Macaca fascicularis: one gene and its partners. The protein of the gene in region 1 interacts with the protein of each later gene in a pairwise test. Links are inferred from orthologs where the notes say so. Each region holds a gene or a part of one and is shown in the gene's direction. Other genes may lie near its edges.

Region 1 (4,553 bases):
TGGGCACTACGAATACCATGGGTCTTGTACAAATGTCAGGCAAGAATGTGCTCAAAGCATGGTAAATAGAAAAAAATTGCCTTTAGAGGATTTCAGGGATGTGGATGTTTCCGTATAAAGGGGGAAGGAAGAGAAAGACTCCTATTACCTGCCTACAACGTTCTGTTGTGATGTCCTCCTGGAGAGTCACCACATTGGGGAGAGGCTTGATTGGAACCAGGTCCACTCCTGGAATAAATCAGGTCAGAGTATTCTAAAGGGTTGCCTCAAGCAGGGAGGAGAGAAATACAGGACAAAGTACTTTATACACCGACCCCTTAAAACATCAAGGAGAGCTGTCCGTTACTCACCCACAATAAGGCTGGATACAGGCATAAACTTGGCAGCTACCTGCAGCCTATAAAAGGAATAGGAATTTAAAAACCTACAGCCATCCTTGTCCCCCTCTTGGCAACTGACCTCTCATCCCTGGTGTTACGTGCACTGGCCAGAACATATCATAGGCACGTATTCCAAGTCCTTTCTCTGCAGTCAAGAAAGGAAACGGCCTCCAAGGGGACCGGGATTCGGGATTCCTCTCCCGCAATGAAACTGGAAACCATCGCAGCTCAGAACACAGAAAGCGGCCACCAGGAGCAACCTGTGGCAAGTGTTACGAACCATCCCCCTGGCGCAGCACACAGGTCCAGCAAGGCTCGGGCTTTCTGCAGGAACTGAAAGCGGCGATTGAGCTGGATCAGCTTGAAAGCAGATCGGGAACGGTAACCTGGACAAAACAACCAAGTGCGCAGAGGGCTTCACCATCACCAGCAGGATTTCTCCAGCCTCGCAACCCACTACCCCTTCTGCAGGAGAGGTACACAATGGTCAGAAAGAGCAGGCGAACCGGGCAGAGATCGCTCGCTCGCTCGCACGCAGACTGAGCGAATCTGGACTCACCCGTCTCCTTCGCCAAGTGATAAAACTTGTCCCGTCGGCTCTTGCCAACTTTGCCCTTCTTGCCCATGGTGGAATGGGGGAGTATCGCTCAATCTGGGGAGAAAGTAGAAGTTGAGGACGTCTCTTTCCGGATCACCAGATTCCTCTTTCAGTTTCCCACTTCCCGCAGCAATTCCACTCCGCTCCCCTCTCCGCACACTCTACCTAGACCCACGGCCGCTTTCTCCACACTCGGAACCGCACATGTATGCAGCAAACGTACTTCCGCTTCCGCTTGCGTCCCTGGCTCGAGGTTTTCCGCCATTTTGAGTGTGGCCATAGATTGTTCTCGGTACTCTGTCCTCGGATTTTGTAAGTTGAAAGTTGAGACTAGGAAGGCACATTACAAGAACTACAAACATAGTTTCAATGAGGCAACATTGAGGAGTTCTGCTCCTTCCTCTTCCCCCTCCAAAGCCCCTGAACTCTCGTAGCCGCCCCTCCCATCATGGTCCCCTTAGTTAGTGTGGTCTGGCCGCGCACCCCGCCCATTGACCCGGAACTCTTCTCTGCCTGGTCTTCAGGTCACAAGCCTCCGCTTCCGCGCCTGCGCGCAAAGGGGACTCGGATGCCGGCGGTCTCTGCTGAAGAGAGAAGATGGCGCTTGACGGGCCAGAGCAGGTATGGCGGCTGCAGTGGCGGCCCGGCAGGTTACGGGGCTGGGTGCGGAGCGAGCGTAATCTAAGTGGAGAGCGGGCCGGGGCAGGAGGGTTGGGTGGGTCGGAGGTGGCTGGAGTAGTCCAGGCTGGACGCTGCCTGCGACTGGATCTGCTGTGTCAGCGCCGCCCTCGGTGAGTCAGGGCAAGGCTGGGAGAGGAATACGCGGTAGAAGCGGAGTGAGTGAGGGGAGCGATGGGCGCGGGAACGGCCGGCCCACGGGTCGCAGGAGACGGGACGCCAGTCCTTCGGCTCCGTTCCGCTTGCTCCGTCGGCAGTAACGACACCTCGGGCTTGTAGAGCGCTTCACGCAGTGCAAAGCGCCCCCGTGTATATCATATCGCCTCTCGGTCCTCCTAAAAGTCGTACAAGGTAGGCGGCGTTCCCATTTTTTTATTTTAGTCGTGGGAAAATGGAGGGTTCCCAGGGAGGGAGGGATTAGAACCCAGATGCTGAGCCTCCGAAGTCCAAACTTTTTTTACTACGCAAAGCTACCTGGTGTCAAACCTTATTCAAAGTGCCCTGCAAGTGGCTTTATCCCCTCGGATGTTTAACCTGTCGTTTAAGACTCACTCTGTGTCTTCAGATGGAACTGGAGGAGGGGAAGGCAGGCAGCGGACTCCGCCAATATTATCTGTCCAAGATTGAAGAACTCCAGGTGAGGACGGACTTCAGAGAGAGCTAGGAAGCGGGATGATGGGGGATGGAAACGGACTTCCACAAATCCATCTAATTCCACTGGGAGTGCAGTGGAAGAAGCTGCTGCTTCTCCTTTCTTGTTTGTTTCTTAGCTAGTAGGGTGTGTGTATCAGAAGTAAGCAATCTCTTGTTCTCCTCCAGTCCCACCCCTTTGAGGGTCATAGTGTTCACAGTTTGTTAAACATTTTCAAGAGTCAAATCTTAACAGAAAAGGTACCTCTAGCCAAAGGTCAGCCCTTTTGGAAGAAGCCCGAATGAAAAGGATTCTTATGAAAGGGAAACAAGCTCAGGAGATGAAATTTATCACCAAGAGGTTGGGTGAGGGTGAAGTGAGAATGTGAGGAAAGGCATCATTGAGGCATCTGGATAATGCTAATTCCATAGAGACTGAATGAAAGAAATTGGGCAACCCAGAACGCTAGCCTAAAGCGCTAAACCATAGAAAAAGGACCGTTTATGTTGTTAATGAAATGTTTATGTTTACCAGTAAGGCTTCCAGCAGTAAGGTGTGACTCTCAGTAGTAGGTATGGCTTCCAGTAGTAAACATTACCAACAACATAAACAGTAGGCTGTTAGTGTTAACAGTGTTATGTTACAGTAGGCTGTTAGTAGTTTAACTTTGGACAAGTCCATGTATTTTCAATTTCGTCCTAATCCCCTGCGTTGTTCAAGTGTCATCTGTAATATAAATTGGATGGGGGAAAGCCACAAAGAACAATTCTGAATTCCAAGTGCATTTGCAGGTATTATGTTTAGTTAACCATTTTGGAATGCTTTTTCATGTGTTTTTATTCGTTCACTTCAGTAGTCCTGAAAAGGAGCAGGGCAGCTGATGCTATACCCATGTGCCATTTGGTAACAGATCTAGATTTTTTAAAATAGATTGCCTGAGCTTTACCTTGCTTTTGATTGACAGCAGCTGGGCTAGAACTCAGACTTCTCACCTAACACTCTTTCCACTAGGTGATGTTGCCTTCCTGTGAGAAATTTGGTGTTACATGAGCCAGCTGTAACTTTTCTCCATTAGATTCTGTTATTCCTGGACCAGAATTGGACAAGCAGCCTTCTTTGATGGCTGCCATAAGCTCCAGAGGGACTCTTGGAGGACAGGGCAGGGTCATTAGAATCATACTGGAGAATCTGAAACAACACACAGGTGCCCTGTGCCCTTCCCTCAGCTCATTCTGACCTGTGAGGTCTTGGCCAAGATCCTACCTCCTCCTGTCTCCTGCCCTTGAGTAATGGAATTTGTCTCTTGTCTGCCACAGCTGATTGTGAATGATAAGAGCCAAAACCTCCGGAGGCTGCAGGCACAGAGGAATGAACTAAATGCTAAAGGTGAGTGGGGAAAGATGGGAAGCCGCATGTGGGCAGTTTGTCTGAGGTCTGTCCTAACCTCCCTGCACAGTGTCTTCACAGCAGTGCTTACTGTTTTCTCCCTGTCATCTAGTAGTTTCACATGCATCTCTTTTTCCCGAGCTCCATTGTAGCCTCCTTAAATACATGAATTTTTATCTTTGGTCTTCCTTTAATAACTTAAGAATGATGCTTAGCTCATGCATGTAGAATTGGGTCCTGGAAACTCCAAAGGAGTAGCTAGGTGACCACTGTGTCTGTTTGCCATCTAGTTCGCCTATTGCGGGAGGAGCTACAGCTGCTGCAGGAACAGGGCTCCTATGTGGGGGAAGTAGTCCGGGCCATGGATAAGAAGAAAGTGTTGGTCAAGGTAAAAGCAGCATGACCCCAGGGACCAACCAGCTCAGTCTGCACTGGATTCCCACCCCTTTGTGTGTAGCCTTGGGAGACAGGGTTCTGTGTTCTGTCAAGGTATTGTGGGATTCTCGAAGGTCTTCCTGGGTAGGGTTAGTGATTTGGTGGCTGTCAAGGAAGATCATGAGCTCTTCTTTCTTTAGGTACATCCTGAAGGCAAATTTGTTGTAGACGTGGACAAAAACATTGACATCAATGACGTGAGTGTAGCAGGTGAGGTGGTGGTGGGGTCAGCTCTTATTTCTTATTGTACCACTTCTGAAACTCACCCCCTTCACCCAGGTGACACCCAATTGCCGGGTGGCTCTAAGGAATGACAGCTACACTCTGCACAAGATCCTGCCCAACAAGGTAGACCCATTAGTGTCACTGATGATGGTAGAGAAAGTACCAGATTCGACTTATGAGATGATTGGTGGACTGGACAAACAGATCAAGGAGATCAAAG
Region 2 (3,254 bases), on another chromosome or scaffold:
TATTTATTTTCTGGGCCCCTCACCAGAATGTAAATTTAATCAAGGTAGAGATTATACTTTATTGACTGATATATCTGATATATCACTAGAGGCCATCACAGTGTCTAGCTCAGATTCAGATGGGTTCTCAACAAATATTTGTTGAATGAACAAAGGAAGCTATTGCCATAGCCCAAAAAAGCTCAGAATGAAGCAGTGGGGAGGAAGAGAAAGAATTCAGGGATCTTTCTATATGAAGGGATCATACCCTGCTGCCTGCTTTTCCCTGACTCCCTCTTTCCAAGGAAACTAAGCTAGGGGGAGGGAGGCAATGGCAGGCAAGAGACATGTTTAAGCCCCTTGGTTATTGAGGAGACTGCAAGAGATAAATTGTTCTTTCAGCCTTGCTCCGGTGAGGTCTCCCTGCCTCCGTCTGCTCACTGATTTCTGCGCCTTTTTCACCTTCCCTTTGGCTGAGTGCTGGCAGCGTTGGTTTGACTTGCAGTGTTAGGCGCCTGCTTAGAAAGTCTGTTTAGTTCAAAGAGTTATTAAGCATTTGCCATGTGCTAAGCATTATGATAGGCACAGAGGAGACAGGGAAAGAGAGACCCCAGCTAAGGAGCTGAAATCTAGGGTGGGAAGGCAGACAAATTGGACCATTTTCCTGCAATGTGGTAAGTGCTACACAGAGGAAAGCCCAAAAGAAGGACCTTAATCCAGATGGGGGGAGTTAGGGAAGTAGTCTTAGGAGAGGTGACACTAGAGGGTAAGAATTAGGAACGGGAAGAGGGAAACAACATGCACAAAGGCAGAGGCATGTGACCGCATACAACAAGAGTCACAGACAGTCACTCTTATAAAAGCATGAAGTGCACATTAGAGTCTTTGATAAGGTTCATTCTAGAAGTATCGGGAACACAAATTGAGGGCTTCACCCAGAAAACATTCACCTGTCCCCCACCCACTCTCGCTTCCCTCCAGTGTCCTGAACACACTCGTACTTCTACCAGTGGGATTTGGCTGGTACCAAAGTGCCAAGTACATAAGGGGAAGGCAAGGAGGGTTGGTCCTAGCCCAGGAAGAATGAGCAGACTTCTTTGCTCTGAGGGGAGCTGAAGTATTGACCCTCCCTTCCCCATTAACCCATATCCAGCTGCCACCCAAGGGGAAGCTTCGGAGCCTGTGTAGCCAGCACGTGGAAAGGCTGCAGATCTTCCAGCACCTCCACCCCATCGTGGTCCAAGCCGCTTTCCCTCCACTCTACAAGGAGCTCTTCAGCACTGAAACCGAGTCACCTGTGGGGCTGTCCAAGTGACCTGGAAGAGGGACTCCTTACCTCTCCCTATGGCCTGCTGGCTCACCTCCCTGGACCCCGTTCCACCCTCGGCCTTTTCGTTTCCCATGAACCCTGGAGGGTGGTCCCCACCAGCTCTTTGGGAGTGAGCAGATGCTGCGACTGGCTTTCTGTCCGCAGGCTGGCCTGGCAGTGGGACAATCGCCAGAGGGTGGGGCTGGCAGAACGCCATCTCCAGCCTCAGCTTTGACCTGTCTCATTTCCCATATTCCTTCACACCCAGCTTCTGGAAGGCATGAGGTAGCTGGGATATAAGGACTTCTGGGGGACCAAGCCATCCTCAAGAAAACAGGGGCATCCAGGGCTCCCTGGATGAATAGAATGCAATTCATTCAGAAGCTCAGAAGCTAAGAATAAGCCTTTGAAATACCTCATTGCATTTCCCTTTGGGCTTCGGCTGAGGGAGATGGATCAAGCTCAGAGACTGGCATTGAGAGCCCAGAAGGACCCGTATAAAATGAATCTGGAGCTTTACATTCTCTGCCTCTACCTTCCTCCCAGCTCAACAAGGAAGTGTTTGGGCACCCTACCCTTTTCCTGGGGTCTAACCAAAAATGGATGGGATGAGGATGAGAGGCTGGAGATAATTGTTTTATGGGATTTGGGTGTGGGACTAGGGTACAATGAAGGCCAAGAGCATCTCAGATATAGAGTTAAAACTCAAACCTCTTATGTGCACTTTAAAAATACACTTTAGGGGCTGGCACAAATCTGATTAGAGTCACATATCCATACACAGGGGAAACACACATAGACTCAACAGCAGCCATGCAGTTCCAGAGACACATGAACCTGACACAATCTCTCTCATCCGTGAGGCCACAGTTTGGAGGAGCCTAGTGGCCTCGGGAAAAGTCCCAATCCTGAGGGACCCCCCAGAGATTTCCATGGTGCTCCGGTCCACTGATCTTGGGCCTGGGGTGATCCAAACACCACCCCAGCTCCAGCTGTCTTCTACCACTAGAAGCGCCAAGAGAAGCAGAGGTGGCTGGCACTGGCCAGTCGGAAGGCACGATCAGACCTTGGAGGACTTTGCTGGCCTGCCTGCTAGCCCTGCTCTTGTTGTGGAGAAGGAAGCAGATGCGATTGCATCACCCTGTCATTGGGCACCGCTGACTCCAACATGGAGGACACCAGGGAGTAGGGCCTGGGCCTGTTTCCCCAGCTGTGATCTTGCCCAGAACCTCTCTTGGCTTCATAAACAGCTGTGAACCCTCCCCTGAGGGATTAACAGCAATGATGGGCGGTTGGGGGGTTGGGGGTGGATTGTGTCCTCTAAGGGGACAGGTTCATCTGAGTAAACATAAACCCCAACTTGTGCCATTCTTTATAAAATGATTTTAAAGGCAAGAGGTGTGTGTGTCAGGGGGTAGAGGAGATCCTTAAATTAGATTACCTGCATGCCTGCTCTCCAGTCTCATTCCTGGGTCAAGACTCAGATTTCCAGCTCAGCAATCCATCAGCATTATACAGATCCAACCCACCCTCACCCCACCCATGCAGTTTCTCCCAGGTGGAGCAGTCCCTCAGTGAGGACTGTGAATGAATCCTCAGGAACCCCCACTATAGGAGCCTCAAACTGAGCTCCACAGGAGATGCTGTAGACTGAGAACTTCCCATAAATGATACCCACAGGGAACGTTTAGATTTAGAGGTTGCACAGAATTGCTCCACATCTGGGAGACCAAAAGACAATCCTCTGGAAGGTGTCTGGCCTGAGCTCCCCTGTGGGGAAATCAGGATGTCAGAGAGATCCTCTAGAGCCTGCTGCTCTTGCTATTGCATGACCCCTCCCTGGCACCAGAGCCTCCCTCCTGGATCCCTCCCCTGTCACTCGCCAGCCTGTAGTGGTGCTTGCTGCAGCCCTCCCTGGTTGCTTTATTTATTTATTTTGCACCAACAGGGTTGCTGCAGACTCATT
Region 3 (3,902 bases), on another chromosome or scaffold:
CCATGTGATTACATGACATAATCTAAGATTCCCTCTTGCTGGCAGACTTGCTCTAGGGACTCTCGGTGCCAGCTTCGTGAGGTAAACCACCACGTGGGGAAAGTTCCCCTGAAAGGAGCTGTAGACAGCATCTAGGGCTGAGGGTGGTCTCCAGCGACAAGCAGCAAGAAATGGGGCCCACAGTCGTTCGGAGAATTATTCTCGGAGAAATAAAATGTATAGCTTATCCAAGCTTCTCTTCACACACTCCCTGTGTGACTTTGGGTGACCCCTAGCTTCTCCGGGCTTCAGTGACCTTTAAAATGAAGAAATTAAGCTACATACACAGGAATTATATTTCTGGAGGGACTCATGGTAATTTTTTTAGCTGAGATTTTAGAGGTACAAAGACAGTTTTAAATAATGTTGAATCACACCATGAGAAAGCTATTTCTTTGACAGTTTTCTCTTCCTGGTTATATCTCCTTCCAAATAAGGGAAGGAGAGAGACTCAGTGTGGTGCTAGTCTGCCTTTAACACCTCTCTAACACTTACTAACCTTCCTTTTTAACAAAGAGAGAGTGGATCTCAGGAGCAATGTGCAGCAGAACCTTCAGCTCCAGAGTAACAAAGGCTTTTGCCATGCATCCATTTTTGTGGTTATCTTCTTATGTACGTCAAATGGATTTTTATTACTGAATAATAAGATGTTTCCTTTTTAGTGGGTCAGTTTCACAGATTATTAAGCAAATCATCTTAGTAAGGTAGATAAAGGGAGAAGTAGGTGGAGATGGCAAAAACTGAATGTGATGCCAGACGCTATCAAACACCAAAGTGAATGATTCTTCCCAGTTCTCTCACGTTGTGAGGCTGACACTGCCTGACAGCTACAGGACAACTTAATAACTTTTCACAACCCACCCTCCCTAGTGATGTGGACCCTCTTCATTAATACTGCCAGGACCAGGAAAATATTACAAGACACTGTGCATTTGGCAAATGATAGCTGCCTGTCGGAGCCCCAAGTCTCCAATTCCTCTGCAGCCTGATGTTCTAAGCCCCCTGTTTTGTGTGCCATTTCAGTTACACAATATCTTAGACTTTTTCTTCAAAGACTTTTCCAAGAGCCACTACTTCTAAGTTCCTTGGTCCTGCAGTGCAAAAAGAAAAAATGAAAATGATCTGAAAGACATTCCTTTGAGAACTTTTGTCTTAAGGAGTTAAAATGGTCTTCAGTCTTTAAAATGTTTCTCTCTTCATAAACCTGTTCAGTGTGATTCAAGCATCAACAAAATGTCAATTCGTACTCGTTATGTCACTTATGTGACCATCTCATCTTTATCTCTTTTGTGGCATTAGCCACAAAACCCACATTGTATTTTCCCTTTGAAACAATACATCCGAAGCAATAATATGTTGATCTTCTATCTGGATTAAAAATTAAAGGATCCTGTGGAAAATTCTTGCACACTCAAAGAAAGAGAGAAGATAGGGGAGAGGGAGAACCAGCAAATCCACAGAGCAGCTTCATCAAATATGAAGGAAAACACAAGATAAAAATGTACAAATTTCCATTTGAGCTAAATAGGGGATTCCAAAAGCCCGTATGGTTTGTTAGTTTGTTTAGACTCAGAAGGGCGAATTGAGACATTAGCCCTGATTCTTCCTTTCCAATGAAGCAGAACCCTGTTTAGATTCCTACTGATACAAACACCTCCAGAATTGGACCTTTGAAGTGTGAATTCATTTGAATTGAAGAGAACTGAGCAGGGGCGTGTTGGGCCTCCTGGAGCTATTTGAGGAATTCATCCAGGTTTATAGATTATTTTTGTCACCCAAGTGTCTGCAGCCCAGCTATTCCCCAGTTGTCCAGCCTCCTTGTGTCACCCCTTTGTTTATCACTTTTGGAAACTGACTTGAGCCTCTGCCACATACTGTGGGAAGCCCAGTAGTCTATGCAGGACTTGGGAAGATTTCCTGGGCTTTCCAGGGTCCCGGTGTCCTCTCACTCCAGCTCCCACTGTAGCTGTTCTCTTCTCTGCATGGGGTGACTCTGGCACAGCTCCCCTCCCCTTTTCTTTTCATTTCAATTCCAAAATCATGTGTAAAACAAGGCTGCTATGGTAGCACTTTTACTAAAGGCATAAGGAAAGGGAAAGGCCAGTTCATTGCAGCCTGGAAGACAACACAAAGTTAAACATGGTGTTTCTTGGTCCTCAAGGAAATGTCTTACTATTCCGCATTCCTCCTTTGGCCTCAGGCCTGCTGCAATGTCCCCAGTCCCTTCATATATCTCCCCTTTCTATGCATGTCCATGCTAGTCCTCTCCCCTCTCCCAGGCAGCCAGTGAAAATTCAAAATTGTTCCCCTCATCTTGCAGAATATTTCAGCTGTCAGCCTTCTCCTCCTATACCCTAGGAGGGGGCATCACCTTTCACACCCAAGAAGGTGATCTAAACAGAGATATTTATCTGAACAAAGTACTGCCTCTCTTCATAGAAATGATGCCACTCCCCTGGTACCTGGTCCCTGGAGCACCAGAGTTCACGCTGCATCCCTGCTTATGGCTAAGAGGGAAGACCCTAGATCTGCCCGCCTCCCACTAAAGGCCTGGAATTGGACAAAGCAAGCCTTCCCTCTTCCATCTCTGAATCAATGTCCATCTTGTCTCTTCCCCGCAGATCGCCCGGGGCTCGCCTGTGTTGAGAGAATAGAAAAGTACCAAGATAGTTTCCTGCTGGCCTTTGAACACTATATCAATTACCGAAAACACCACGTGACACACTTTTGGCCAAAACTCCTGATGAAGGTGACAGACCTGCGGATGATAGGAGCCTGCCATGCCAGCCGCTTCCTGCACATGAAGGTGGAATGCCCCACGGAACTCTTCCCCCCTTTGTTCTTGGAAGTGTTCGAGGATTAGACTGACTGGATTCATTCTCATAATTCCTACAGCACTACTGGGTGTCATTTCATTCCATTGCCTAGCTCTTTTTTGTTTGTTTTTTTGTGTCAGGAGGGATTATTTGGGAGGGAAAAGGGAAGTAGTCCTTGGCATAGACATGGATGAAATTGCCCCTTGAATGCGGGTACTTGAAACTATTGCATTTCGTTCTCCGGTCCTTTGATGTGAATGCTCTGAAGGTTTTACGGTTGTGGAGGTGGGGTGGGGGACAATCATTAACTCACCAGCACCAAGCATCACCAGCTCCCACCCATCCCCAGTCCGAGACTCGAGTCAGCAAAATGGCGCTGCAGGACACTAAAGAAGCCTTAAAACCAAGATAATACGACCACCTCCACCCAATCCTGATGTGTGCAGGGCTGAAGTTAGCAGAGTACAGACCACGTTTAGTTAGATGTGGCTTTCAGCCTTTTAGGGAAAGACTTGAACAAATTTGCATCTGTTCAAGAGCATGCTGTTTCCAGCACTCTTTATCGTCTCCTAGGAGCGTAACTTGGAATGCACAGGAATATTTGTGTCCTAAAAAATCAGTTGTCCTTCCAATATCATTTTTATACCCTTATTAGATTTAATTCAAGTTATACAAGGGTGTGACTCAAGGATGTACAGATATTGACTGATTGAGGCCAACAAGGAAAATAATTTTTTTCAGTGAGCCCAGAGAAATTAGAAATCTTCACCAATGTCAGTGATTCTATGGTTTCCAAAAATTCATAGTATTACCTCACAGTAGGAAGGCTTCTTTCCCATTTAGGCTCAGAGAACACTTACAGAAATCAAACCTATTCACAGGGTGGCACCCCTTTTCTGTGGCATCTGATCTGTCATCTCCCAAGCTCCCGAACTTCTTTATCCAGGTTGTATCTTTGCTGAGCTGACAACAGATTTCTCTATGGATCAAATATTCTAATCAAGGAAAGATACGCTAAAATTTCAGTCTTCTTCCAGAGAAATTCTG
Region 4 (3,902 bases), on another chromosome or scaffold:
CTTGTCCTTCCTCCCTCTACCCCTAACCTGACCCTGCTGTCCTCTGCTTGGGGTCTGCAGGAGGGCAGGGATGGGAAAAAACTTTCCCCTCCAGGCAATTAGAACCTTAGATAAAGTAATTCCATACTCAGTGATGAATCTCTGCCCAGATCCAGAATAGATGGAAAGGGTCCCAGTGCCCCTGGACAGAGATACTAGTTAGAACACTTGCTCCCTGCATGATCAGCTGACCCTCCCAGCCCCTCACCTCGTAGGAATCCCTCCCACTTGTCACTTTTCTGTACTCACCTTCCTGCTCTTTTCAGTTGATAGCATATTTATTTATATCAATTAAGGCCAGTCTGTTTAATCCATATGTTGCTCTGTATTTCAGCTTTCAATAGTAATTCTATACTACTTAGGAGGCTTTTTGTTGTTGTTTTTTGTTTTTGCTTGTGTTTTGTTTTGTTTTGAGACAGAATCTCACTCTGTCACCCAGGCTGGAGTGCAGTGGCACAGTCTCTGCCTCCCCGGTTCAAGCCATTTTCCTGCCTCAGCCTCCAGAGTAGCTGGGATTACAGGCACCCACCACCACACCTGGCTAATTTTTGTATTTTTAGTAGAAATGGGGTTTCACCATGTTTGCCAGGCTGGTCTCGAACTCCTGACCTCAGATGATCTGCCTGCCTTGGCCTCACAAAGTATTGGGATTACAGGCATGAGCCACTGCGCCCTGCCTATTTAGGAGTTTTTTGATACCCTCTTGTAAGTTCACTGATTCAAGGTGCTTAAACCGCCCTCCCCACAAGTGGTGTGTTCAGTATAGCATATATTTATTTAAAAATTCAAACAAGTTAACCTTTTTATTTTTTAAAAAAATTATTATACAAAAGTAATACATGTTCATCTTAGACATTTGGAAAACATAAACTAAATTATATATATATATATACTTTAATCCTGCTACCCAAAGATAATCACTGTTAGCACTGTAATATATCTCTTGCCTCTTTTTTTAAAAACACATATGTACATTCAGAAAAGAAATTTTGCTGTATACAATCTGATGACTTGTTTTTTTAATATTGCATTGTTTTTCCTTACAATTTAGTATGCATCCAGAACATAATTTTTAAAGGCTGCACAGTATTTTGGAATACAATAATGTACCTAAATCCCCTACTATTGGATATCTGGATTATTTCCCAGTGTTTTAGTAAGACAACAGTATACTTATAGCTAAATATTTACACTTATCTGAAATTTTCCCTTACAATGAATTCCGGGAAGTGGGATTACTGGTCAAAGAGTACACACAATTGTTTCACTAATGTCAAATAGCTTTCTAGATTACCTGCAGTAATGTGCATCTCCTTTAGCACCCCAGCCCTCATAGGCATTGCCTATTTCCTACATCTTTATAAATACTGGCATCAGTATTTAAACATTTTTGTTTCTGGTTTATAGGTGAAAAGTGTAGATGTTCTACATTGCAGTTCTTTGATCATTAGCAAGGTTGAACATTTTTTTCCATGGGTTGATGGGTCCCAAATTCATTTCTGATTGAGATCCGTAGGAACAGCACATGGTCTGCCTGAGGAAGTCTCATTGCTCTGAGTGTCTCTGGCTCCTTGCTTTTACTGTCTCACGCTGCTGAAAGAGGCAGAGAGAGTCCCAGAGGGAAGCCTGGGCTGAAGGGTGACCTCTGGAATCACTGCGGGATTCCCAGCTGGCTCTCCTGCCAGGGCACACCAGGTCTTTGCAGGGGCTGGCAGGAGTGGTCCTGGTCCAAGTACCCTTAAATAGCTCCTTCTCTTCCCTCATCTCCCCCAGACATGATGGACTCGTCCAGCTTCTCCAACCTGGATCTGAGTGAAGAAGATTCAGATGACCCTTCTCTGACTCTAGAGCTGTCCCAGCTTTCCATGCTGCCCCACCTGGCTGACCTGGTCAGTTACAGCATCCAGAAGGTCATTGGCTTTGCTAAGATGATCCCAGGATTCAGGTAAGAAACTTCTGCAGTATCTAGGGAACAGAGTCAGAGTCCTAGACTGAGCTATAAGAAGGGCTGGAGATCACCCATCCACCACTCCTTTTTTTTATTTTTTATTTTTTTAAATGGAGTCTCACTCTGTCACCCAGGCTGGAGTGCAGTGGCGCCATCTTGGCTCACTGCAACCTCTGCCTCCCAGATTCAAGCGATTCTCCTGCCTCAACCTCCCAAGTAGCTGAGATTACAGGTATCCACAACCATGTCCAGCTAATGTATGTATGTATGTATGTATGTATGTATGTATTTTTATTTTTCCAGATGGAGTCTCGCTCTGACACCCAGGCTGGAGTGCAGTGGCGCTATCTCGGCTCACTGCAACCGCCACCTCCCAGGTTCAAGCGATTCTCCTGCCTCAGCCTCCTAAGTAGCTGGGATTACAGGTGCATGCCACCATGCCCGGCTAATTTTTGTATTTTCAGTAGAGATGGGGTTTCACCATGTTGGCCAGGCTGTTCTCGATCACCTGACCTCATGATCTACCCGCATCGGCCTCCCAAAGTGCTGGGATTATAGGCGTGAGCCATCACACCCTGCCCTAATTTTTTTATTTTAGTAGAGACGGAGTTTCGCCATGTTGGCCAGGCTGGTCTCAAACTCCTGACCTCATATGATCCACCCGCCTCAGCATCCCAAAGTGCTGGGATTACAGGCATGAGCCACCACACCCAGCCTCCATTGCTTTTTTAAAATAGAGATTCAGGCCCTACCCTAGACCCGCTAAATCAGAACCTCTGGCGTAGGACCAGAAATCTGTATTATGAAGTGCAGCCTATCCTGCATTACTCTGCAGGCCAGCACTGGAGAGCTAGTCCATCCCCTCACTTTCTGGATGATGGTGTAGAAGCCCAGAAAGGTCCAATGGCCAGCCAGGATCCCTTCCTGGTGTTGGAGCCAGCACGTCAGAGCCAGGCCTAGAACTCCCAGCTCACTGTTGTGTTACTCCAGCTGGCTTGACTGGCATCCTCATATTATCTCTTTAAATTCAACGACATGATTCCTCCACACCCCAACTCTGAGAGTAGAATGAAGTGATAGAGAGGAGAAGGGTTGGCCATGTAGACTTGTGAAACAGTCTGGGAATCCTGGAGAAAGACAGGTTTCCTGGCATATATGACCCCGGCATCCTTCACCAAAATGAAGACCATTTAAAGACCATTTCCTGGCCAGGCGTGGTGGCACATGCCTATAATCCCAACACTTTGAGAGGCTGAGGTAGGAGTTCAGCCCAGGAATTCCAGACCAGCTTGAGCAACATAGTGAGACTTCTTCTCTACAAAAAAAAAAAAAAAATTTATAAATTAGCTGGGTGTGGTGGCACATGCCTGTAGTCCCACCTACTAGGGAGGCTGAGGCAGGAGGATCACTTGAGCCCAGGAGGTCAAGGCTGCAGTTAGCCATGATTGTACCACTGCACTCCAGCCTGGGCAACAGAGCAAGATCCCGTCTCAGAAAAGAAAAAAATAAAGACCATTTCCTAACCATACTGAAACATTTTTTGCCAAAATAGGTAAGTATAAGGAGTTCTACTGGAGAAGGGATCCTCCTTTATCAATTCACTCATATAAATTTCATTCATTTATTCCCATGTTTTATTGTTGTAACACTAACAGTGTATATAATACTTATATTTAAATGCTCATACAGTGTTAATATTCTTTTTTTTCCTTTTCTTGTTTGAGACAGAGTTTCGCTCTTGTCACCCAGGCTGGAGTGCAATGGTGCGATCTCACTGCAACCTCCACCTTCTGGGTTCAAGCAATTCTCCTGCCTCAGCCTCCCAAGTAGCTGGAACTACAGGAGTGTGCCACCATGCCAGGCTAATTTTTTGTATTTTATTTTGAGACAAGACTTTCCCTCTTGTTGCCCAGGC
Region 5 (4,490 bases), on another chromosome or scaffold:
TTGCTTAAGTAAATAATCAATTTGCCATGTCTTATAACATATCTTTTTGAAGGCATTGAGAAGAGATCGAGAAACTCTCACACTGAATGTACTTGTGATAATTATCAAGCCGTAATGCAAATAACAGAAAGGTGATTGTCCTGTTCCCTGCACGACATCTTTCTCTTGGTAATTTGAAGAACGGGGTCTTTCAATTACCTTTTTTGCCTTCCTACTACAGCAATAGCTCACCTGTGATGGATCTGTCCTCTCGCAACCTTCGCTGTCACAAACCATCTGAGAAGTTAGGAAGTCAGCAAATAGGCCTTTAGGTTGCCAAAACAGAATCCCAAAGTTCAAGCACTACAGTGCATGCACTTGATTTCAGAGAAAATCTCTTTAGACCCAGTACATCCTATTTATAATTGGTTTTTACACAAGCTTAGTTATCTGGTTGGGTTCCAAGACATAGCTAATTCTAAGACAAAATATTAATTACAAGTAGAGGGAGGGCCTCATAAGATCTAGCATATGACTACAGAAAGAAGGAAAACAATAGCTGAAGGAGGAAGAAAAAACATAAAAAGGAAAACAACCAGGGCACTTAGTGTTGGGCCAAAATGTCATATAAATCTTAGAAGGCCTTCAGAGCATTATAGCGTAAACAATAATTTAATACTTTTTTCATAAGTGTCTAGTAGATTTTTTTGAGAAGAGTAAAATACTCTTTATTTGGTATTACACTTTGGTGTGTAATATTAAATTTCTTTATTTGATTTTTATTAGATTTTGTTATTTATAAGATTTTATTATTTATAAAGTATATTTGATATTACAGTACATGCCAAAGTGTAATATCAAATAAAAAATATTTAACTCTTCTCAACTATCACACTTTAGTGTACAATATCACTCTAAATATTGCACTTCTCTAAAGTCTACACTAAAATACCTTTCTATAAGTAAAGGAAACCATTTTAGATACAGGGAATTCTAATTAGATTGGCATAGTCAAAGCCAAAAATATAAAGTAGACATTGCTACCTTATCTTCAGCCCTTGCCTGTAAGAGGCAAAAGAACACAAAATACAGGTGACTCTTGCTTGATTCTGAGACAGTGAAGGAATTTCCCCAGTATTTAAATATATTCACATAACTAGTTATATAAATCTAAACATAAAACCAGTTTCCAATAGGTTTTAAGGTGGTATTCATCTTTATGAAAAGTTGAACATTACTAATGAAGTCCAACCATATCTTCAGAAGGGGGAAACTGACAGCAGTTACTGAATCAAAATTACTATCAAAATTCAAAGAAACATCGAACATACTCATTTAACCACAATCCAGTCTTAGTTAACAGAACTGCCCAACAAAAATATTCTGTCAGATGTTAATGATCTGAATTCTGGTATATGAGATCTATTAAATCACGGTACACATTAAAAAGTCATGAGATGTTCCTGTTTTGTAATAAACAAGGCAGTGGCCAACTAATTAATGCTCATTAGTTTTTTTGAGATAGGCTATCAAGTCTGCCCTTTCTGCTTTCTTCTTAATGCTAGTGAAGATCAATTTTGTTCCAGGGATGAACTTTTTGGGATTCTTCAAATACTCCATCAGTGTTTCCTGTCCCCAGGTGATGCTTTTGTTTTCACTGGCGTCTGTGTAAGTGAATCCAAAGGCCTGAGCTGTCCTCTGTCCAGAGACCATGGAGATGTGGCCCAGTCTTGTGTTTGCCTCCCTTTCCCACAGTGTGGCACTGGGCATACTTCTAGACAAAAATCTTGCTTTTCTCAACATCACCCATATTTAATTCTCTCTTTCATCATTGGCACTACTAAGGTTCCCATTCAGAGGCTAGACATCCTGCTCTCCAAATTTCTAATAAATTTTAAAATAAAATTTCTGATGAATGTTTATCATCAGGAAAGTAAATTCTATTCAAAATTCTCTAAAAAGAAGAGAAATATGTCATAATTTAGAAATATTCCTTTAAAAATATTTATGATAACTGCCGTCTTTGTTTTCATGTGTTTACTTGGATAAAAATCCAGCTATTTGGATATTCAGCTATCCCAATTACTTACTAAAGCTCTAATCAGCTGAGATTCATTGCTATTTGCTCTGGTGATGTTCTAAAATACATGATCACAGAGATTTCTGAAGTTCGGATTTACTTCATTATATTCTTTGAGAAAACTATCCAGAGAGTAACTTCTATTTCCAGTTTGCAGAATGTTTCTCTTGTAGCCCAAGGGAATGAATGTGTTCCTTATGAATACAGGTAGACTTGACCAACTGGAGGACCAAGTACAGAATTTCCTATGTTTATAATGTCTCCATCCCAGAGTTTGTAACAGTTCATTATGGTTATTTAAACTCAAGCAAGGCTGAACTTGTATCTCATTACATAATAGTACAAAGTAACTCAGCCAAAACTTTGTGTTCACTCCCCTGGCCTTTTTTGTCTTGTAACCACCACCTCTGTGATTTTTGCTGCTTCCAAATAAAGGCCAAACCACATGTGTCATCTTCTACATCCTCTTGTAGTGCCAGAAAGCCCCACTCTCTAGTTCTCGGATAACCATAACAGTTGTGAGCATTCTAGATCTTATTTAACTTAAGACAGTGGGTTAATTTTAGGTATGACTATAGAGGGATAATGCAAATTCTTTCACAGCAACTTGAAGTTCAGCCTTCACAGAAGCAGAGAGTACTACAGGTGGCAGAAAGTTATTCCTGCCAGCAAATAGTAGTAGAAGTTTCTTTAGAACAAAAGGAGAAAAAGACACATCCAGTCTCAGTGGGATTAAATTAGACAGTGGGAGTTGGCTACCTAAACAGTACTTTTTTGGGTACTTATTGCTGCTGAAGCGTTTGGGGATGTGCTGTGCATAAATACATGATCTGATAAATCTTTTCCTTCTCCTTTATCACTGGATTGGGGTGGACAAACAAGTGTTCCTCGAGGCAAAATGGCAAGCCACTGTATTCACAAAAGGAAGATAAGGAAGTACAAACTAGATACATGAATGGTGAGGGGAAACATCTATTGTAATTTGCAAGGTTTCTTCATTTACGAAGGCTTTTAGGAAGAAGTGAGGTTTGAATCAAAGATGGAGCCTCCCGCAGAACCTGAAATGATGAAGAGAAAGGGGAAGCCGTGAACTTCCAGGCACAGAGGATCTCTTTCCTGGCCAATAGACTCATGAAACAGGGTTATACCTCTTTTATCACAAAAGATGCCGCCTTTGGGTTATGGTCCACAGGCACATTCCCCAGTCAATGACAGTATCTTCACCTGCAGAGTGAACACGAGAACTGAGAAAATAGCCTGGACACTCAGAATAGGAAAAACACTTCCCTAAAATATTTAGACAAGTAATACAAAGTTTATTTTAGGTAGCTGCCTTAGTTCTCTGCTTTTACATGACGTGTTCAAAAAAGAGAAGAGGCGGGATAGAAATGGGGTGGAGGTGAGAATAAATGGCTTAAATTCAGAAGTTGTCAAGCCAGATTTTTCTCCTGCCTGTTTCTATTTATGAAACTTTGCACAGCACCCTCAATTTTGAGGGTAGATTTAGAATGTATTTTCACTTGGCGATGGGGAACACAGATCCCCTTGTCCACAATTGGGTGGGTTTATAAAAGAGAAAGCATGAAATAAAGATGAGAGAGACACCCAGGATGACATCCGGTTTTTCCTAAACACTCACCTGAAATGCCAGACACTCCAAAAGCTTCTGCATTTACAGAGAGTGAGAAATCTCTCTGCTGTCTGTGCTTCATTGGAAAGTAGAGGGACTATTGCTCTTTCAAGTGGGGGAGATTTGTGTAACAGAAAGAAACAGCAGAAAATAGGTCAGCAAAGTCAAGTGACCTGCACAGATGGGTGTTTTGAGATGTGTAAGCCGAGGTTCTACAGTCACTACCCAGATTCACTTACAAATATCAGGAGTAAAGGCCGGAAATAGAAACATTTTCCAGGCAGGAAGGAGTGGGGAAGAGGGAGAAGTGGGTTATCTTTTTTCCTTCAAATCACTACCATTTCCAGCATTTGAAAAACCATTTTCTTAAAGTCACTTTGCTCAACAGATGACAGTATTTCTTGGGAAAGTATTAAAAAAAAAAAAAAAGGAAAAAAAATTCAAGCAATTTTTTTCCCTTTCAACCACCACCTTCCTTTTCTTCCCACCTGTGAATATGAATACAAGACAATTTCATTCTTAGGGTACTTTATTGGCCCCATTCTCCTTGAATACCCCAACATCGTGTAATCACTTCTTGTTTCAAGCAGTAACCCTAGTACCAAGCAGAATTTTGACATCGCCACTAATTCTTTTGAACAAGGCTGTGTTGGCAAATATGAAACAGGGTAGACGTTGGCAAGTGCTTTCAGAATAATTATAGGGTTTCTCGAGTAGTACAGTATAAATAATTGCTGGTTTAAAAGCGTTATTGTGAACGGCAATTTATACTAAAATTTATATTTGCTCCTTGAAACCAAT
Region 6 (4,615 bases), on another chromosome or scaffold:
CTACAAAAATTACTCAATTCATAATTGAAGCAATTAGATCAAATATGCTTGTCCAAAATGGAGGCAAGTGTGTGAAGTCCATAATGACCCCAAATCCTTCCAGTAAACAAGTGCCAGAGATAGCACAAAATAAAAAGCAAATTATGAAAATATCTGTGTTGGGAAGGTGGCGGTAGCATAGGAATTGCTATAGTAATTTTTTTTAACCATAAGTCTCTATACTTGTACCTATATTACATATTTGAACATATGAGTACCACACTATATTTGACAGTAACTTAAAACATATTTTTGAATGTTAAAACCACTATGACATTTTTTATCATCAAACTGAAATATTAAATTTCTTCACATTTGCCATCAGAAGGCATCTTTTAAGTTACATTTGTATTGTACCTGACTACATTCTAGATTCTTTAGCTAGAGAAAAAACACTCAGTTCATAAAAACTGAAAGTGAATTGCCCTGAGAAACTTTGTTGAAAAGCACATGTATAGCACACAAACTGGAAACCTGCTAAATGGGAGGTAAACATGAAACCTGCTAAATGCGAGGTAAAAATCTGACTTAAGGATGAAAATGAAAGTTAATTTAGAAAATACTTTGATTTCTGGAAGAATCTCTATGAAAATATTTATGGTTGTGACTCTTAAATATTGTAAATTTTATGTACTCTTTTCTATTCTTCAAATCAAATTCTACGATAAAAAAATGTATAAGCCAACAAAGTTCTGAAATGTGACAGATTTCCCTCCTACTAACAGAGTAAATAAATAACAAATTAATTTAGTATAATAAAACATAACTATTAAAATTTATTTAGACACTATCACTGTTTAAATTGCATTAAGATCTACTTAAAGTTTCTGGGTGAAGCTATGTATGACTAAACCTTATAATTTAAATATCTAAATGTATTCATTTTAATTGCCATTAATATTAAAATTTTGTCCTCTTGCTAATTAAAAATTTCCAGTTTTAAGCTTAGAGTAAATTAAATCTCCTACTTTGGCAAAGTTAGATGAGAATTTGGTTGTAAGAATTAAAGATGTTAGGAAAAGACGAAAGATGAAACACATGCATCTACTTCCCTTACATCTCAAAACTCCATTAAAAAACAGCAGGAAAGGAATTTTTAATGGCAAAAACCAGAAACAATAAGGAGAAGTGAAAAGGAGAAAATGCCAATAAAACTAGAATCCAGAAAGCAAGATCTGTAAAAAAAAAAAAAAAACAAAAACAAAAAACAAAAAAAAAAAAACAAAGCCCATCTGAAAAAAATTGTATTAAAAGCCTGTAGTAAGAGAAGATGAAAATCATAGTATCTCTCTTACTCCTCCCAATGTTGTAGTAATCATAGCACTTCATTGTGATTACCTTTTTACTTACCTATCTCCCCCACTAGACTGCAAGCCCCACGATATAGGAAATGGGGTTTACTTGTCTTTGTACCCTGGTGCCTAGGTACTGCTTGTTTCACACAAAGTAAGTGCTCAATAGAGGATTATGGGACTAATGAATACAACTCATGTTACTGTGATAAATAAGTACTCATAATGATCTCTGTCTCTCATCCATTCAATGTGTTCTGTAAAATATAAACTGACTACTCTTTGTTTGGCTTTGCCTTATTATAAATGAATAGGTCTTGCTAATTCTGTTAATCCTATTACTTGTTCAGAGCTATTTCTGCAAGGGTCATCAATATCTGGGGATTTTAAATCTGAGCTTAAACCTACTGAAGTTCAAGAGGAGTTCAGTAGACAGGGATTCTCACCCACTGAACAAGGACACCAGGCACAGAGATCCAAACAGTGAGTCCACAAGTAGTCCTTTTGATAATATAATTTTTAAAATTTTACCTTAGGGGAAAGAATAGTGATTCACTGTTTATATATTATTGTGTTAATTTAAAATAGTTCAAAGTACATAAAGTTTTGAATTCTCTACTACAAAGACAATTAAATACAGTGTATCCTTCTCTCTTTTCAGTGATTTCCACCAGTCATCTTCACTAATACAGATTCAGAGTAAACATGCAATGTTTAGCCTGATATTCTAGACTATTAAAATAAGACCATGATTGGAGAACTCATTTTGCAATTTTAAATTTCCTTTGAGTGAAGGGAAAACTAAGGGAATAAATGATGAGTCCTTGAACTTTATGTTGGAAGATCTGGCTCCCAAGTTGGAAAGGGAGTGCGGTAGTTGCCCCTTTTCCAAGGGGGATATGTTCCAGGACCCCCACTGGATGCCTAAAACCATAGATAGAACTGAACCCTGTGTATACTATGTTTTTTTCCTAAACATTCATACCTATGATAAAGTTTAATTTATAAATTAGACACAGTCAGAGGTTAATAATCACTAATAATAAAATAGAAGCTTTATAACAATATGCTAGCATCACAACACTTGTGCTTTGGGACCTTATTAAGTAAATAAGGGTTACTTGAACACAAGCACTGCAATAGTCAATCCGATAACCAAGAGAGTAATGCGTATGGTGTGGATATGGTAGACAAAGAGATGATTCATGTCCCAGGCCAGACAGAGCAGGATAGTGTGAGATTTCATCAAGCTACTCAGTACACTGCACAATCTAAAACTTTTGAATTGTTTATTTCTGGAATTTTTCATTTAATATTTTTGGACCAAGGTTGACCAAGGGTAACTGAAATCACAGAAAGCAAAACCTCAGGTAAGTGAGGACTACTATATTCATCCAGCGCTAAGGCATGTTTTGAGGCTTTTCCTTAGTAGTATGTTATTGTGGCGGTGGTTTGTTGGTGGTTTTTAATTTTTAAAGTAGAAATAATGTTTGTTTTGAAAGGTTACTTTAGAAATTTAATGGAACAGAAATAATGGTTTTAAAAGAAAAGAACACTGAGAGTTTGTTGATATTTGTTAAATTCAGTGAAAATTTTCTTTCAGTTGTTTTTTTTTTTTTTTTCTATTTTGTTCCCATGGAGGTTATTATTATTACCAATAAACCTTACAGTTTTGCATTATGAAAATGAGTGCAGTAATTGATTTGCAATGAAGTATTTTTATTAACTGCAAAAATAACTTCTCACTATAGAATCCATTTTAAATATATATAATATACATATTGTCCATTGTACGTGCTACTTAGAATCACCTAATATTAAAGCTAGAAAAAACTTAGAGATCATCTAATTCATCAAGACGATTTCTGCCTAAATATTATGTTTATAAGTGGATTTGACATTATATGTCATTATCAAAATATATATGAACCATTCATAATAATGTCTGCAATGGAATTCAAACAATATGTACAGGAATATGTATATTTACAAGATAAAGAGACACTTTTAAAAAGATGGCGGTTATAAATTCTATTTTCTCCAGAACAAGTAAAAGAATATCTGTATGTTGTAATAGCAAAATTGGATTGGTGGATGTCTTTTCACTAGGAACAAGAATTCAGTTATGACTTTTAAAGCTCATATTTCCAGAGTAAATTTTTTTAATTGATGATACAGGATAACAGACAGGAAATTGATATTTGCTATGCATTCCTGACATACAAATTGTTTAAAAGGCTCCCTACAACTCCCCTGCCCAGTCCCATAGATGTTGAAAAAGCAAAACTATTTGAGTAGGGTAGAAACAGAAAATATTACATCTGTTCTATAGTGTCTTATGTCAAAATTTCTATCATAGTTTTTCTATCAAAGTTCTTATGAACTTTATCTACATACTGGGGGTAGGGGGAAGTCAGGCATAAAGTAAGGAAATTTTTCAACAGCATCAAGATGAGTGTTTTGTATTTAAAAGAAAGAAAACTAACATTTGCTGACTGCCAACAATTTTCTAATTTGTTATAGGCATTTTGAGGACCACGTGTCCTGTATTCCACTATCCGTCTCAAAATTTAATTTTAAAGAAAACTCTTATTATGATACCACAAAATGTAAAAGTTGATCTATCCCAAAATTAACAACTAACATAATTGAAGGTAGTAACAAAAACCCTAAGTTTTGTCTTACTCCATTAGAGAACTGAAATTCAGAAAAGATATATAAAGCATTACAACATAAATGCAAAAAGGAAAATCAAACAGAAAATCACTTATGATCTGCAAAATCATGGGTAAGGAAGACAATTTGTTGGAAAACAAGTATGCTACATTCAAATCAAATAATCATTCCCATTTTTCACTTCCAATTAATTCAAGAAATTAATTGTTATGAGGTATAAAATCTCCTTTGTGTCTCTTGTAGAGACACTGAAAGTCTCCACAAGCCCAGTAATACTTTTGTGATCTGACATGGTGTTGTCAAAGCTATCTGATATGAAATTCTCACCACTGATAATTTATTGTAATAAGAAAGGAAAGGCAGAACTACTTTCTATAGAGTCCAATATGGCATTGGGGAAGATATTCATGGAAGGGGTTAAAACACTTCATATTAATGTATCTGTATTGGCGAGCACATTAGCTTGGCTTAGTTGATCAGATTAGCTCACAGTCACCTTAGAAAACAGGAAAGCAGAGACCTAAGGAGATGTACAGTTAGAGGCAGAGAAAAATAGGGCATAAAGCCCTGCAAGGGTGACTAGAACACAGTGTGACACTCTGTGGGAC
Region 7 (4,481 bases), on another chromosome or scaffold:
GGGCAACAGAACAAGACCTGTCTCAGAGTTTATTTTATTTTGTTTTATTTTTTAATTAATTAATTATATATTTTGAGACAAAGTCTCCCTCTGTCACCCAGGCTGGAGTGCAATGGCATGATCTCAGTTCACTGCAACCTCCGCCTCCCAGGTTCAAGGCATTCTCAAGCCTCAGCCTCCTGAGTAGCCGGGATTATAGGCACCCACCATCACACCTGGCTATTTTTTGTATTTTTAGTAGAGACAAGGTTTCACCATGTTAGCCAGGCTGGTCTTGAACTCAAGTGAGCCACCCGCCTCGCCTCCCGGAGTGGTCATGTCTCAGAATTTTTTTTTAAAAAGCTATGAAAGGCCGGGTGCAGTGGCTCATACCTGTAATCCCAGCACTTTGGGAGGCCGAGGCAGGTGGATCATGAGGTCAGGAGTTCAAGACCAGCCTGGCCAACATGGTGAAACCCTGTCTCTACTAAAAATACAAAAAGTAGCCAGGCATGGTGGTGTGCACCTGTAGTCCCAGCTACTCAGGAGGCTGAGGCGGGAGAATCACTTGAACCCAGAAGGAGAAAGTTGCAGTGAGCCAAGATCAAGCCGCTGCACTCCGACCTGGGTGACAGAGTGAGACTCTGTCTCAAAAAAAAAAAAAAAAACAAGCTTTGGAAGACAGCAGCTAGGCCGAGTGCCGTGGCTCACACTTGTAACTCCAGCACTTTGGGAGGCAGAGGCGGGTGGACCACCTGAGGTCAGGAGTTTGAGACCAGCCCGACCAACATGGTGAAACCCAATCTCTACTGAAAATACAAAATTAGCCAGGTATGGTGGTGCATGCCTGTAATCCCAGCTACTTGGGCGGCTGAGGCAGGAGAATTGCTTGAACCCAAGAGGCAGAGGTTGCAGTGAGCCAAGATCACGCCACTGCACTCACAGCCTGGGCAACAAGAGCGAAACTCCAGCTCAAAAAAAATAAAAATAAAAATAAAAAAGAAAGCAGCTAAAAGGGAAATAGAAATGTATTCAGAAGATAGTGCTAGCAAAATGCCTGGCACAAAGTAGATACCCATTACATATTTATTGAATGAATGAGCGTACTCATTCGCAAACAATAGCATGTGATGTTGCACGAAAAGAGCATGGATTTGAAATCAGATGTTAATTTGTATCCCAGTCCATTTATTCATTCCATAAATATTTATTATATATGCTTGGAGTACATAAGACCCTAAGGATCCCCAAATGACAGGTGCAGCCCTTGACTTCACCAATTCACAGTTGATTGACAGAGTCAGAAAGAAACAGACAGTTGTCCTGCAGTGTGATAAGTGCTGTGACAAATTTGTGTACAGAGGTGTAGCTCTATTAGGCTCACTGAGGTGATCTGCAGTACCCAGGCCTGAAGGACCAAGAGGATCAGGAGGATGAGGGGAGGAGGGTTTGAAAATAAGGATGTGTGAGGCAATTCCAACCAGAGGGAACAACAAGGGCAGATGTTCAGAGGTGGGTGAGCACAGCTTGTTCGGGAAACTCTAAATGCTTAAGCACATCTAGAGCCAAAGTGTGATGTGCTAGGTCAGGGGAGGGAAGTGGAGACAGAATAGGTGAAGCCAGAGTGATTAAATAGGGGCCAGATCACAAAGGACTTTGTGTGACATGCTAAAGAGATTGGATTTTATCCTGAAGGTGATGGAAAGCAAATGAAGAATTTTAAGCAGGGAAGAGACACGATCAAATTTGCATTTTAGAAATAGCAACAGCATGGAGGATGGGTTGGAAGGAGATGAGGCTGGGAGCAGGGAGAATAATTGAATAGTCTGCTGCAGCAGTAAGTGGAAAATGATGAGGGCCTAAACGCAGCTAAGAGGTAGTGGGCATGTAGAGGTCAGAAGATAGGAATGACAGGTCATGGCATTTGGTCATTTATAGGGAATGAGGGAGAGAAAGGAGACTAGGTGACTCACCAATTTCTGGTTTGGCATCTGGGAGAAGACAGCAGTGAAAGGGGAAGGAAAGGAAGAAGGTAAGAGAATGAATATATGTTGATTTCCTTGCATGTTTCAAGCACCTTGTAAAGAATTTTACATTTTACTACTTTATTACTTTGTTTAGTCTTCACAGCAAACCTGGATAACGAGTGTTATTAACCCTTTTTTTCCAGGAAAGAAAACTGAAATTCAGAGAGCTTAACCCATCAGGTCACAATCCTCACAGGTGTTTTTCAGACCCTGGCCTGGAAGAGGCATGTTGGAAGAGGGTGAGGGTATCAGTTAACCCTGAAAGCCTGTTCGCTATGGATGCCAGGGGCATCCTGCAGCAGATTCTACTCTCTGTCTGCTTTATAGAGAGACCTTGAAGCCAGGGGAGGGTTTCTGTACACAGAAGAGCAAACTCAAAGCAGTCTGTTCCAAAGGAAACCCCATCTCAAAGAACTTCAGGGTGGACTTCTGCAAGAAGAACAAAGCTTAGTGTAATCCCTGGCCCCAGGTGAAGGGCAGCCCTGGACCAGAACATCTTTCTAGCCTAACTTCTCCCTAAGCATTCACTGCTGAGGTAGGAAGAGGAAGTATGTCTCCCTTCCCTGGTCCAGTGTTGGCTCAGCCTGATGATATCTGATTCTCAGAGCCCCATGGGGCTGGGTCTCAGTCATGGCAAACAATTAGAGAAGCGGCAAAGAATAAGTAATTCAGCTAGCAAGAGCCAGTCGGAATTTGAACGTAAGTCTATATGACCCCAAAGCCCATGTTCTTTCCACTTTCTCACATTGGACTAGTCATCAAGTCAGGTAATGTAGGAAAAGTTAGTTTGTGGGGGGGTTGACAATTCAATTTTAGACATATTGAATTTGAGGTGCCTTTGTGAATCCAAGTGGAGTCATCTAATAAACTGTTGGGTATATTGGCCCTTGTATAAGTTATCTAAACAATCTGAGCCTCAGTTTTCTCATCTGTAAAATGACGATATTACCTATCTTACAGTGTTAACACAGGCAAGGAATTTTACATAGTACTCTGCTCATACTGGGTACACAAGAAGAATAAATTAAGGGAGCAATTAATACCTATAATATTATACATAGTCTTTACCACAACATTTGTTTGATTATATATTTTCTTTTAAGACCTAGGAATTCAATTTATTTATTCAGTCTTCATAATTAATCTGGAAGTGTCTCTGTAATAGGGACCTCTGTAAAGGGTCTCTCCTTCTGGTGCTAATCATGAGTGGACACTTGATAACTTATTACTGGAGTAAATTGTCAACTGTGAAAATGGATTGGCACCCAAGTATGGAGGGCCCTTGTCCTCCTCCTGTAGTCTCTCTCCCAGTTGGCAGTACCACCGTCCACTCAGTCACCCATGCCAGAAACCTGGAGTTATCTTTAATTCCTTGTCTTCTTTCTTAATCCAGGCATTATAATAGTCACCAAATTCCAATAATTTCACTTTCCACGTATTTCTCAAAACCCTCTCCTCTCCTACATCCTTCCACTATCCTAGCTCCAGCTTAATCTTCTCTTGCCTACATTATGGCTATAGCTTTCTAACTGGTCTCTTTGCCTTCAGTCCTGCCCCCTCAAATCCAACAGCCAGCAGACTAAACTATCTAGAATATAGATATGACAATGTCATTTCACAGCTTTCTCTTTCAAAGTTTCCTGATGGACTCAGTGTTTAGCCTGACACATGAGGTCTCCTGTGATCTGCCTACATCTCAGCCTTATATCGCACCTCTCCAACCTTATTTCTTCCCACTCCCAGCCTGAAATGTTATGCTCCAGCAAGAGAGGCCCATCTGTGGTTCTACCATATCTACCTTTTTGTATCTGGCTTATTGACCATCTCAGGCTGCACCCTCTGCCTGAACTGCCTTTTATATTCCCCCCCCCCGGCTAATTCATCATTACCCTTTAAAAGTCAACTCAGTTGCCACACCTCCAGAAAGCCTTTCCTGCCTCTTCCTCAATACCCCTATTGAGCGCCCTACTTTTTCAGTGCCGTAATGCTCTATGCATGGCACCATCACTGATCTGACTCTATTTCTTTATATATGTGTAAAGGTCTGTTTCCCCCATTAGCGGGAATGAGAGTAGGAGAGCATCTTACTCATCTTTTAACTCTAGTGTCTTAAGACATAGGTGGATTCTTGGTCAATATTTGTTGATTGAATAAACTAGTATGAATTGTCAGAGTCACAAAGACACCAACAGATACATACACATAAATATTCTTACCATCTCCCAAGGAACAGATCCAAGCATCTGTGCTCTCTGGAACTCAGTTTATTTCAAAGTGCAAAGTTATGCATAGTTAGATGCTATACCACTTGAGATTAGGGGTTCTACCAATTCATTCTGGTAAACTAAACAAGGATCTTTTTAACTCAGTCTCTCTCTCTCTCTCTCTCTCTCTCTCTCTCTCTCTCTCTCTCCCTCTCTCTCTTTCTCTCTCTCTCTCTCTGTGTGTGTGTGTGTGTGTGTGTGTGTGTGTGTG

The links.
Region 2: the proteins of PSMC5 (region 1) and RORC interact in binary tests that used the Homo sapiens proteins (3 or more experiments, as listed by UniProt). The link is inferred for Macaca fascicularis from reciprocal best matches to the Homo sapiens genes PSMC5 and RORC.
Region 3: the proteins of PSMC5 (region 1) and THRB interact in a two-hybrid assay, tested with the Homo sapiens proteins (3 studies listed by BioGRID). The link is inferred for Macaca fascicularis from reciprocal best matches to the Homo sapiens genes PSMC5 and THRB.
Region 4: the proteins of PSMC5 (region 1) and VDR interact in a two-hybrid assay, tested with the Homo sapiens proteins (2 studies listed by BioGRID). The link is inferred for Macaca fascicularis from reciprocal best matches to the Homo sapiens genes PSMC5 and VDR.
Region 5: the proteins of PSMC5 (region 1) and RORA interact in a two-hybrid assay, tested with the Homo sapiens proteins (3 studies listed by BioGRID and IntAct). The link is inferred for Macaca fascicularis from reciprocal best matches to the Homo sapiens genes PSMC5 and RORA.
Region 6: the proteins of PSMC5 (region 1) and PDC interact in a two-hybrid assay, tested with the Homo sapiens proteins (2 studies listed by BioGRID). The link is inferred for Macaca fascicularis from reciprocal best matches to the Homo sapiens genes PSMC5 and PDC.
Region 7: the proteins of PSMC5 (region 1) and NR1I3 interact in a two-hybrid assay, tested with the Homo sapiens proteins (2 studies listed by BioGRID). The link is inferred for Macaca fascicularis from reciprocal best matches to the Homo sapiens genes PSMC5 and NR1I3.

Annotation. Positions count from the first base shown.
Region 1 is NC_088390.1:70,332,860-70,337,412, forward strand, and holds the start of PSMC5 (26S proteasome regulatory subunit 8), read left to right. Parts: upstream 1-1,544; 5' UTR 1,545-1,546; coding exon 1,547-1,599; exon of another isoform or gene 1,600-2,007; intron 2,008-2,202; coding exon 2,203-2,293; intron 2,294-3,603; coding exon 3,604-3,673; intron 3,674-3,963; coding exon 3,964-4,061; intron 4,062-4,248; coding exon 4,249-4,305; intron 4,306-4,387; coding exon 4,388-4,553. Other genes in the region: pre-rRNA 2'-O-ribose RNA methyltransferase FTSJ3, read right to left, coding at 149-228, 351-397, 661-766, 940-1,006.
Region 2 is NC_088375.1:109,391,198-109,394,451, forward strand, and holds the end of RORC (nuclear receptor ROR-gamma), read left to right. Parts: intron 1-1,132; coding exon 1,133-1,294; 3' UTR 1,295-2,683; downstream 2,684-3,254. UniProt on the Homo sapiens protein: Nuclear receptor that binds DNA as a monomer to ROR response elements (RORE) containing a single core motif half-site 5'-AGGTCA-3' preceded by a short A-T-rich sequence.
Region 3 is NC_088376.1:24,227,076-24,230,977, forward strand, and holds part of THRB (thyroid hormone receptor beta), read left to right. Parts: intron 1-2,660; coding exon 2,661-2,902; 3' UTR 2,903-3,902.
Region 4 is NC_088385.1:54,596,590-54,600,491, reverse strand, and holds part of VDR (vitamin D3 receptor), read left to right. Parts: intron 1-1,812; coding exon 1,813-1,984; intron 1,985-3,902.
Region 5 is NC_088381.1:37,072,648-37,077,137, reverse strand, and holds the start of RORA (nuclear receptor ROR-alpha), read left to right. Parts: upstream 1-1,479; coding exon 1,480-1,647; exon of another isoform or gene 1,648-2,941; coding exon 2,942-3,017; exon of another isoform or gene 3,018-3,117; intron 3,118-3,207; exon of another isoform or gene 3,208-3,283; intron 3,284-4,490. UniProt on the Homo sapiens protein: Nuclear receptor that binds DNA as a monomer to ROR response elements (RORE) containing a single core motif half-site 5'-AGGTCA-3' preceded by a short A-T-rich sequence.
Region 6 is NC_088375.1:43,957,372-43,961,986, reverse strand, and holds the start of PDC (phosducin), read left to right. Parts: upstream 1-1,747; 5' UTR 1,748-1,814; intron 1,815-2,659; 5' UTR 2,660-2,701; intron 2,702-4,615. UniProt on the Homo sapiens protein: May participate in the regulation of visual phototransduction or in the integration of photoreceptor metabolism. Inhibits the transcriptional activation activity of the cone-rod homeobox CRX.
Region 7 is NC_088375.1:99,833,816-99,838,296, forward strand, and holds the start of NR1I3 (nuclear receptor subfamily 1 group I member 3), read left to right. Parts: upstream 1-1,551; 5' UTR 1,552-2,011; intron 2,012-4,481. UniProt on the Homo sapiens protein: Binds and transactivates the retinoic acid response elements that control expression of the retinoic acid receptor beta 2 and alcohol dehydrogenase 3 genes.